Linked DNA regions of Canis lupus familiaris. The protein of the gene in region 1 interacts with the protein of each later gene in a pairwise test. Links are inferred from orthologs where the notes say so. Each region holds a gene or a part of one and is shown on either strand. Other genes may lie near its edges.

Region 1 (5,369 bases):
GGGGTGGTGCATGGGCCCCTCTCTGGTGGGCCCCACCTTAGCTCCCTGACATGGCACCTCTGAACCCTCTCACAGCGCCCACCCCAAGGCCCACAGACTCCAGGCCGTGAGCCCCCTGCCACAGCTTCCCCAAGTGCTCGTGATGGAGAGGGGCCCAAAGCAAGGCTGCATTTGCTGTTCAAAATGATTTCTGAGGACTGGAAAAGGCTCCATGGAAATATTTCTTGGCATGCTCCCAAAAACATAAATGCTATTGATTGAAGATTTAATGACTCAAATGAATGCAATGGCTCTGAATGATTTTCTTGAATGTACCACTGTTATTTTTTTTTAACCCATGAATAATTAAATAGCTCATACCATGCTATCACTGAGATGGGCAAAGATAGCCATCTTTTTTGAATGTCACAATCCTTTTAACAAACATGGCATTGACCCGCCACTGGGCTCTCCTGACGCAGGGCCCTGTCATCAGCCAACGCCCCCAGGGCACAGCTGAGGCCGAGGGCCTGCTCCTGCTCCCGCCCTGCTCCTGGCTGCCATGTGCCACCCCCTGGGGTGAGCTCTATCCCGGTGCCAGGGAGACAAAGTGGGAACGCTGTGATCGATCCCAGAAAAGAAAAAGCCAAGCTCCTGGAGGCACAGGGACATGTTCCTTACCCGGGCGCTCTGACCAGCTATCAGCTGGTCATCTTCTGTCTGGACACTCGTCCGACTTCTGACATCGAAGTCTTCTGTCTCAAAGTCAGAGTCATCCAGTTCCTCGGGAGTCTGCCAGCAATATGGAGAGCACGAATCAGAAACACCCTAGGCCCTTGGGTCCAAAGTACAAACACCCAGAACTCTGGGTCTTCACATGAGCCATGTTCCAAGCAGCTGGGGCCAATCAGGTTAACATCAGCCATGATTCACTCGAGACCCGCCTCACTGACACACACGTGAGGCGTCCCAGGCTAGGCCCCCATCAGGACTTCCCAGAGGCTCGAGGAGCTTCAGCTTCTACGAGGGTCAGGACTCACCTGCACCCTACACAAAAGTGAGGCTCATCCTGGTGGGAAACGTACTGTATTGAAAAGACATTTTATCCAACATTAAGCAGATTCTTAGAACCTTCCCATGTGATGGCAAGAAGAAAATGAATGAAGGAAGTAATATTAGGCTTTCCCTTAGGACAATGCTTTGAAGAGAAGAAATAGGCAATGGATTTTCATGGACTTTTTTCTGCTTTACTTTTATCAATGTGAAAAGAACGTGGCAGGTAAGGTCTGAGTATGTCTCCAAGGTCCCGTTTCCAGTTCTAGCTCTCTAGCTTTAATTATGAAATAAAAATTCTTATTTCAAAAAAAAAAAAAATTCTTATTTCATACAACTTCCAGCCTCTCATGATTAGTGGCTGACTTGAAACCTGACGTTGTCTCCTGGAAGTTACTAGTAATGGGCAGTGGGCGGAACAGCTGGGGTTGGCTACTGGCCTGGCGGACCGGCCTGTGACAGAAGGGCAATGAGGCACATCCCCTATCTGTACCAGGATCTAATCCAAGGCGGGGCCCCAGGGCTTGCTGCAGGGCTCCCGTGAGAGGATGTGTGAGGAACATCTGGGCTGCCCAAGACTAAGCTTGTCTCTCAGTGACGTGAGGTAAGGACAGGGGGTCACGCCAGGCACCAGCAAGCCCTGGGGACACATGAGTGCAAGACCCGGAGTCTCTCTGACTTGGCGGCCACACACGACCCCACCGCTGGCCACTTTGGATCCCAGATCCCTGGTCACAGATACCTGCAGAGGGGCTTTCCCAGAGACATGCTGTCTTGTGAGAACCTGCTCTTGTGCCAGCCCTGCTGGCCCCGTCAGAGACCCAAGAACTATTCTTGCCAAGAGACCAGGTACCTCCTGTTCCTTCCTTTCTGCTGAGCATCTGTGTACCAGGGACCATACTGGGCCCTGGAGGTGCAGCACCGCTACTCCACTGTCGGGCCCTGTGTTGCCCACACCACAGCTCACTAGAACCACCAGCACCTCTGTTCTTCAGAGAAGATGAGGAGAGTCCAGGAGGGGCCGGGGCTCCAGAGTCTGCAAGCATGTCCCCTCGTTGTATACGCAGTGTCTGCCCGCCCAACCCCCCAAGATGTCAACCTCAGCACCAGTGACTCCTCTTTATCTTAAGGTCCCTTTTATTCCATTTCTAAGTGTCTAAGAAAAGGCTCTGGAGAAACAGGGCTGCGTCCATTACCAGCGATGGCATGCCCAGGGACCCCTTCATGGCACTGGGACAGGGCGGCCCATGTGACCAATCATTCTACCAAGCCAGCTTGCTTCTCAGGTACAAGTACAAAGAGATGGAGAAAGCAGAGCAATTTCCTGCCCCCGTGCAGCCAGGGAACCTGGGGCCTACAGGACAGCTGGCACCAACCAGGGCATGCACACTTCTCCTTCTGCCTCACCCGGGGGGCCCCGGCCCTCTTGCCCACACGTTTCTACGCTGCAGATGAAGTGGGTCCAGCCTCATGCAGCTGCCTTAGAAACGGCCCCTGTTTCCAGCTGATGAGCTGGGAGGATAAAAAGTGGGACAGGATCCCTGCCCACCCTGAGAGGTCTGTCTAGTAAACCGGGAAAGTGTAAACAACGTCTCCTGACCCCACCAGCCAGGCCGCACAGCCAGCAGTGCTCCCTGCAGCAGGCGGGCTCTGGCCCAGGCCCTTGGGACCCCCAGGTGGCCCCGGGGGACGGGGATGCACACTTCCTGCTCTCAGCTCCCAGAGCAACAGGCTCGTGCTCAGAAGACGATGTGAGACACCACATGCCAGGGGAGGGCAACTGGGAGACCCAGCCCTGGCACCCTGGGCCATATTACGGGGGTGGTGTCCGTGGCTTCTCAAAACCCTTGTATTTACGCCACCTGGGAGGGCTGCTGGGTATTCCCTCCCATAGGTCAGAGAAAATGGGTCATGTGGGGCCCAGAACAGAGAAGGCACATCAGGGGAGCTTGAGCAAGGGCTGCCACAGGCACTCCTCCTCACCCCAAGGATACAGAGGCTCTGGGATCTCCCACCACTGTCAAGGACAGGGGCGTCCATGCAAAGGATGGCTTCAACCTGCATGAAGGAAACACTCCCTTCTCAGAAAATAACTGAAGAGGCTTCACTGTGGGTTCCCTGTCGCACACCACAGTCTGCCTATCTGTGGGGAATCTATGCCTGAAACTAAATTATCAAAGCCAACTCATCCTAGCTCCCTGTCTTCGCCCAAGTTTGGGCTCTAACTTGCAACTAAAAGTCATTTTAGACAACATAATTAAATATATCTCATTCTAACAGCTTTTAGATTCATGGTTTTAATATACTGCCACCGCATCTGCTGAGTTCCAGAATGATGCATTGCTCGAGTTTAGCAAACGATAAGAAAGAAGCTGTTAAAACGTCTGAAATGCAGTTACTCACCCTTATCATCAACACCGCTTTCCTGATGTCCCGGATGCCGTCGTACACGAGGCGGGAGGCATCGATAAACTCATTCTCATCCATGGGCTGGGCTGGATCCGAGCTGAGGGCTTCCACAGCCGCCTCCACTTGCTCGGTAAAACGTGGCATGACTGTGGAGAAAGAGGCACGGCAGGTCCAGCTGGCCCAGCAGACAGCATTACTCTACCTGCCCCCCAAATCCCTCAAGGAGACAGAGGAAGCCAGGTGCATGATGAAGAGCCTGTGCCTCCAACCCATGTGAAGAGTATTTACAGTTGAAATAAACTAAATGCCATATTTTACCAAGACTCAAATCATCTTTGTCTCTGACCAGATTTTACAGTATTGGATTTGGATGGGAGAGACATGAAGTGAGAAAAATTGGAGGCCCTGCTTAAAACTAGGACCGTCCTTAATTTAGTATTTATTCACTAAAAAGAGACTTAACTCAGAAGTTCATCTTTAATAGTATGTTCAGAATTAATCCCATAATTAGCTGGGGACACATGTGAAAGGAAAGTTGTCAAAGCCTTATAATTTGGCTCATCAACTTCTCAGTCTGACATTCACCCTGACATTACTGTATGAAAGCCTGAGCTACATCCTGATCTCGTCCTTCCTACCACGAGGGCCTGCACTCACAGGGTGGACATGTGTGTGTGGGGAGTACCAAAAAGGGAGGGAGTCCCCAAACCTGTGTTGGAGAGCAGCTTCGTGGCTTCCAGGACCTTCTCCGTGTAGACCCCTGGCTCATAGTTGTCCATCTCTGAAGTGACTACATGAATGACCCGAGCAGCCCGTCCTCGAATTGCACCAGCTGTGCGGTCCAGACCATCCACATCTTTCTCTTGGAGAGCAATGACGCATTTGTTCACATCTTCCAAAATGTGATTCTCTAAATAACAAACAAAAAGCCGAATAAGGGAAAGGGCATTCCACTAGAAGGGGGACAATGGTACGCTGGCATCTACTGCTCACCGAGTGCTCATTTTGTGCCAGCTGCAGAGCCAAAGCTTCCCATGTATCATTTCACTGAAGACCAGACTAACCACTTAATTAACTGTCCCACAGAAACTCAACCCATAATCACCTCCAAGGATAATAATCCTCAATTCCAAGTTTATAGAGAGAGAGAGGAAGTGATCAAGAGATCTTTAAAGTACAGTTGTTCTGTAAGCCAGGCAGAAAATTCAGATCGCAGAGACCTTGGTAACTTCTCTCTTCTTTAAATAATTTCACTAGCCTTATGTCCAAAACAAAGTCTTAAATAGAAGAAAGGGTTCATTATAAGTCTCTATCCTTCCAGTCCTTTGCCCTTCCCTCTAGTAGATGCCAGTACTCAGACAATTTGCCAAGAAGCCAGGACAGCCCTGGGGTAGAAGGTGCTAGAAAGCAGAATGAAGCCACCCCTGGAGGGCACCAAGGGAGCCTCCCTGATACAAAAACATTTAGTATCCCTTTCATGGGTGGCCATGGGCCTACTGTGGTATTTGCAAAGACCCTTGAATTGTGTTAAGCTGACAGGTGGCTCCTACCAATCAGAGAAATGGATGTGGACGACCCACCAAAATTATTTTTCCTCAAAGCAAAATGCTTGACACTAGAGTTTGGGAACGTCAGAGTAAAGAGCTTCTGCTTCATCTGTAATTACAGCAAAGTAGAAGCAACTAAAATATCCAAGGGCAGAGTACGTAATAAATTATGGGCACTATACAGCCACTAAAATGGATGATGTCCATCTGTAACAGCTGAGCCAGGATGGTCCAGGCAACTGTTCTCACTCACCCAGAAATACAGGGACCACCAGCAGACAGCCCAGATAACAGGGCTGCTCAGACTATGGGGTGGGTGCAGAGTGACATAAAGGAAAGCCCCATAATCATCTGGCCATTCCTGCTCAAACAAAAAATGAG
Region 2 (5,898 bases), on another chromosome or scaffold:
GAGGTTTAACGGTGACTGATCAATGAAAGACAGTACCATTAATAGAAATGGAAAGTCTCAATTAAGTACTCTTGGGAGAAGGGAATGTGCTTTGTTAGAAGTCTCAGGTAAGACATGAACAGACATTTCTCCAAAGAAGACATATAAATAGACAACAGACACATGATCACTCGGCATCAGGCAAATACAAATCGAAACCACAATGAGATACCACCTCACACCAGTCAGAATGGCTAAAATAAATAAAGTCAGGAAATGACAGATGTTGGCGAGGATGCAGAAAAGGGGGAACCCTCTTACACTGTTGGTAGTAATGCAAACTGGTACAGCCACTCTGGAAAACAGTAGGAAGGCTCCTCAAAAATTTGAAAATAGAGCTACCCTATGACCCAGCAATTGCACTGCTGGGTATTTATTTACCCCAAAGATACAAATGTAGTGATGTGAAGGGGCACCTGCACCCCAATATTTATAGCAGCAACGTCTACAATAGCCAAACTGTGGAAAGAGCCCAGATGTCCATCTACAGATGAATGGATAAAGAATGGCATATATACACACAATAGACTACTACTCAGTCATGAAAGAAAAGAAAGAAAAGAAAAAAAGAAAGAAAAGAAAGAAAGAAAGAAAGAAGAAAGAAAGAAAGAAAGAAAGAAAGAAAGAAAGAAAGAAAGAAAGAAAGAAAGAAAGAAAGAAAGAAAGAAAAAAGCCTGGCCATTTTCAACGATGTGGGTGGAACTAAAGGATATTAAGCTAAGTGCAGTAAGTCAATCAGAGAAAGACAATTATATGATCTCACTCATACCTAGAATTTAAGAAACAAAACAGGATCATAAGGAGGAAAGAGGAAAAAATAAAACAAGATGAAATCAGAGAGACAGACAAACCATAAAGAGATTCTTAATAAGAAACGAACTGTGAGTTGCTGGAGGGGAGAGGGACAGGGTGATGGGGTAACTGGGAGATGAATATTAATGAGGGCATGTAATGAGCGCTGGGTATTATATAAGACTGATGAATCTCTAACCGCTACCTCTGAAACCAATAATACAATTCAATAATTTATTTAAATTCAATGATAATTCATTGAATGATAATATAGATACTAATGGGAAAAAAATAGATACTAGAGGGAAAAAAAGTCTTAGGTAACATCCACGCAATTGAAGATGTGAGACTAGGTGGGAAAAAGTCAAGGTTGGCAAGGTAATCTATGAGTTGATCACAGTTAAGGTTGTAAGAGTGAAGAGATCTCTCATGGGGAGAAGGTACAAAGGGCCTTGAATGAAACCTTTAAAGGCATTTGATTTGCCCCTTGCTTGAACTATGTTTATTGGACTGTGGGCTCCTTCAGACTGTACGATCCCTGAGGGCATATCTGATCTCATCCTTGCATTCCCTAAAAGTATCCATTACAGTTTTGTACATAACTGGTGCACAGTAAGCAGCCTATATTAAAGGAATCAATTATTTCAAGGTAATTTCTGATTAATATTTCCTGTTCCACCTGCACTCTGTATTTCAAAAGGTTGTGCCACAGTGGTGTCTGATTTTCCAAGGCTCTGTAACTGGTGAACTGACAAACAAGGCATTGGGACTGTGAAAATAAATTAGCCTTCGGTGACATTAGAACTAAAGCAAATCCCCAGAAGAAGTAGGGAATACTCTTCAAGAAGTTTCTGCATAGAATTAAACAGGAGGGATCCCTGGGTGGTGCAGCGGTTTAGCGCCTGCCTTTGGCCCGGGGCGCGATCCTGGAGACCCGGGATCGAGTCCCACATCGGGCGCCCGGTGCATGGAGCCTGCTTCTCCCTCTGCCTGTGTCTCTGCCTCTCTCTCTCTGTGTGACTATCATAAAAAAAAAAAAAAAAAAAAGAATTAAACAGGAAATGTTTTTACTCAGGGAGTGAAACAAATGAAAATTTTCAACTGTAGACACGACACAAGTTAACAGTGTACAAAAAGTAAAGCTTCAGGTGAAATAAAGGATATACATGGGCAGCCCGGGTGGCTCAGCGGTTTAGTGCCACCTTCAGCCCAGGGCGTGATCCTGGGGACCTAGGATCGAGTCCCACATCGGGCTCCCTGCGTGGAGCCGCTTCTCCCTCTGCCTGTGTCTCTACCTCTCTCTCTGTCTCTCATGAATAAATAAATAAAACGTTAAAAAAAAAAAAAAAGGATAAACAAGATAATTAAAGGGAATTGAGGACAGTTGAGAGGCATACTTTAAAAAAAAAAAAAGAAACATGAGGGAAAAGTCATTCACCTGCTCTCCCACAAAATATTACAGAGGTAGAATAAAAGACAAACCTTAAAAAAAAAAAAAAAGGCGAACCTGATTCAATACCTAGATGAACAGTGTTTCCCCCATTGCTGTATAAAATAAGGAAAAGGACTGCTAAAACCCATCAGGAGGCAAATCTGCTGACAGCCCCCATCCCCCCAAATTAAATGATCTAGGTTCTGGTATGCCACAGCGTTCTAACCCTGAATCACAGCTAATGCCCTAAGGGCTTCCAGATAGGTGAATCAATGGGGGAAGTCAGGGGAGAGAAAAGAAATGCGCTGGAGTCACAGATTCTAGGAACCTGACAAATCGAAGCATCTGTAATCCAACCACCCTCTCAGAATCAGACAGCTTTCCCCAAGTCTAAAAGATGGCCAACCAGTCTTTGCCTATTTACAACAACAGCAGATGGACCATTGGTAGGTAAAGTGACTCTTGTCTGAGCTGGACAGCTCTAAATCGTAGTAAAAATCCTCTGGAGTTATTCCTCAGTAACTTTCACTCCGGGTCCTGGTTCTCAAGAGCCATAGAGTGAAAAGTGAAAGTTGTATTTCGGATTTAATTTGAAGAAAAAAACAAAACAGAACAAACAACTAGGTATTACTTCCTGGCGAGTCAATACATTCCCTTCTTTCAATAGTAGTAGGAAAATTTTAATTTTTTCTTTTTCTCAGCGTTTGACTCCCCTTAAAAGAAAAAGAAAAAAAAAAAAAAGTAATGCCAGGCACGGGTTCCTTTAGACTCGGAGCTGCGACCTCCAGAGCAGAGGGGCTCAAATAACTACACACGCTGCAGCTGACGTGAAATCCCCGTTGCCAAGAAGCAAGCGGTTCTAGCCCGAGCCTGGCCGCTCGCAGGCTGTGGGGGCCGAAGTGCCTGCACCCTCGTTGCCAACGCCGCGGGGGGGCTGGACGGGCGCTCCCTCCCAGGCCAGGAGCAAGCCCCGCGCCCCACAGGGTACCGCGCTCGGCCCGGAGAAGCGGCAACGCTAACAGGAAGGTTCAGCGAAGCACCTGGCAAGACCCAAGCCGAGCCGCCGGACCAGCCGCCCGTATGCCCAACCACCCCGTCCGCCAGAGGCCACCTGAGCAACGGCACCGGTGGGCGCTCCCGGAGTTGGACGTTTCTGGCTCGGTCGGGGTCCCGGTCTATTCCTCCCGCCCACCCTCTCTCTCCCCACGGCCCACAGCTGAGCCGGAAGCCACCCCAAGGGGTGGTGTTCCAGGAGGCACTCCATGTTTGGGGTGAGTGTTGCGGGCCGGCCCGAGCTCTCGAGCTGGCGGGCGGCTGCGGCTGCGGCGGTCACTCACCGAGAGGACGCTCATGCGGATTGGGGTCTCCAACAGGCACGCCATCTTGAGCCTTCCCACCCGGCTACGGCCGGTGCCGGCGCGGGGGCCGGCACTTTCGACAGGGAACTACTGGGCCAACGACAGGCACCTTCTGCGGAGAGACAGGCAGACAGACGAGAACACACCACACTCTAGGCACAGCTGAAGTACGACCAGGGCCCGCAGAGGGGAGAGAAAAGGAAAACCGCGCCAAGCGTCTCCTGACGAATCGTCTTCTCAGAAACGGCAGCTACTCTCAGCCTGGGTTAGAGGTGGGAGCGGGCAGCAGTTTCCGCATGCGCAAAGAAGATCTGCCGGCCCCACCTGCCGCTCGCGGTGGGCGGAGCCACAGGGGCGGGGTCTCGCTCTTGGAGCTGCAAACTTGACGGGCTGAGTCGTTACAATGCAGCTCACCTATTCACATGATAGAGACTAGTGTGTGGAGTCACATATGTAATTTGAAGTTCACGTTCCTATACATTATCTCGCTCCTTTGCAGCAGGTTCCTAGCGTGGTTATCGCCATTTTACAGATGAAGGGACTGTGGTCTCCGAACCAGGTCTTCGGCGTAATCTGCTCGACCCATTAATTCTGGTGTAGTGTTAAGAATAGATACTCTGGAGCCAGAACGCCTGGGTTAGTCTTTGCTACTTCACTTATCAGTTGCATTACGTCCAGCCAAGTTACTTAACCTCCCTATGCTTCAGCTTTCTCTTCTATAAAATAGGGGTTATGAGAACGGGAAACTAAAGGTCTTTAGAACATGACTGGAATGTAGAAAGCGTTATATATATGTTACTATTTCCTCAGTCTCTGAGTCAAATAGAAAAAAAGGGGGACAAATATCTGAGAATTAACACTAAAGCACTCTGATAACTGAAGCCAAATAAAAACATGCTTCTAATGATATTTTCTCATTAATTCAGCTTTCCCACTCCATGTGTGTGTCTATGGGTGTGGTGTGTATGTGTGTGTATAAAACAGCCCTGGACTTGGCTGGACAGGTTTCACCTTCCTGCTGTCTATAACCAGTCAGTTTTCATAGAGTGGTTGCAATAAGCCTGTTTCATTACTTGTTTTTTTCTATTTTTATGGCCACTCCTTAATCAGGCTGTTACTACCTCTCCCCTGCCCTAGAGCAATAGCCTTCCAACTGATCTTGTAGCCTCTAACCTTTTCACTTTGCTCCTCACTGCTTTCTATTCTAGAAAGTTCCCCTTAAGCCACTTTGCTTTTAGCAAAGCCCTACGTTAGAATCTGTTTTTGCTAACCAAAGAAACCCAAAGAGAATTTTTGCTTTTATGAAAAAAAGGTAGTGAATGAAAATAGCAGTGTGTGTTTTGCAGTGAGCCTTTATAAGGCACCTGTCAACCACAGGCAGCAGGGGAGAGTGGCATCCCCAAGCTCTTCCTCTGGGAACTACATTCAGCATCTCAGCATCAAGCCACCCATAGCTTTGAACTGTATCTGTGAGCATCTGTGCTTTATCTCCATTTATTTTGTACATCTGTTAGTAAGATATGGCCTAAGGTATCAGAAATGCCTAAAAGAGGTTATTTTTCAGCTCTGGGAAGGCTCAAAAATGTTTCCATATAAAGTTATGGTATTCCTTCTTCACTTTATGCCATTTTAGTTTAGAAAGTTTTAATAAGAACACCCTAGCATTAAACAGCATAAAGAAAAAACAAATGTATATGTATCTGTTAATATAGCTGTTTTGTGTCTTTAAATAAATTCTTAGATGTTAAAAAAAAAGAACACTCTAATTTTGCTTTGTGGGGGAAACCTGTACTTGGTTTTCAAATTTATTGTAGCCCTAATCATCCTTCCTCATGGCTCTGTCTTCCCAAACTGTTGAGTTTCTAGAAAGCAGGAATTTCACTTCAGATTTTTCCTTCTGCAGTATTCTCCAAACTTCAGTAATCTGCATACCACCCATGCAAACTTTGTCATCTGAACCTGGGTGTTGTTATTCACTCAGTATTTTTCTTTAAAGTCAATTTCAATTCATTAAATAGTTTAGCTTCATCCTAAACCATAAGAGTCTGTAAAATCAAGTTTTTGTGCTTATTTTTATTCTATTACATATTAACATGATAACTACAAAAAAGTTTACATGTCCACCTATCACCTAAAATCATGTCATATTCTGCATACTATAACATAGCAGAGCATAACCCTTGAACAGAGGATATAAAAGTATCGAATGAAATTTCAGCTGACATTTATATGACATTTATATTTATAGAGTTGTGATAGCTGTATTTATCCATGTTC

What was found.
Region 2: the proteins of CTNNA1 (region 1) and ARMC8 interact in a two-hybrid assay, tested with the Homo sapiens proteins (2 studies listed by BioGRID and IntAct). The link is inferred for Canis lupus familiaris from reciprocal best matches to the Homo sapiens genes CTNNA1 and ARMC8.

What each region holds. Positions count from the first base shown.
Region 1 is NC_049232.1:26,500,661-26,506,029, reverse strand, and holds part of CTNNA1 (catenin alpha-1), read right to left. Parts: intron 4,352-5,369; coding exon 4,151-4,351; intron 3,588-4,150; coding exon 3,436-3,587; intron 772-3,435; coding exon 661-771; intron 1-660. UniProt on the Homo sapiens protein: Associates with the cytoplasmic domain of a variety of cadherins. The association of catenins to cadherins produces a complex which is linked to the actin filament network, and which seems to be of primary importance for cadherins cell-adhesion properties.
Region 2 is NC_049244.1:34,937,912-34,943,809, reverse strand, and holds the start of ARMC8 (armadillo repeat-containing protein 8), read right to left. Parts: upstream 3,895-5,898; 5' UTR 3,646-3,894; coding exon 3,601-3,645; intron 1-3,600. UniProt on the Homo sapiens protein: Component of the CTLH E3 ubiquitin-protein ligase complex that selectively accepts ubiquitin from UBE2H and mediates ubiquitination and subsequent proteasomal degradation of the transcription factor HBP1.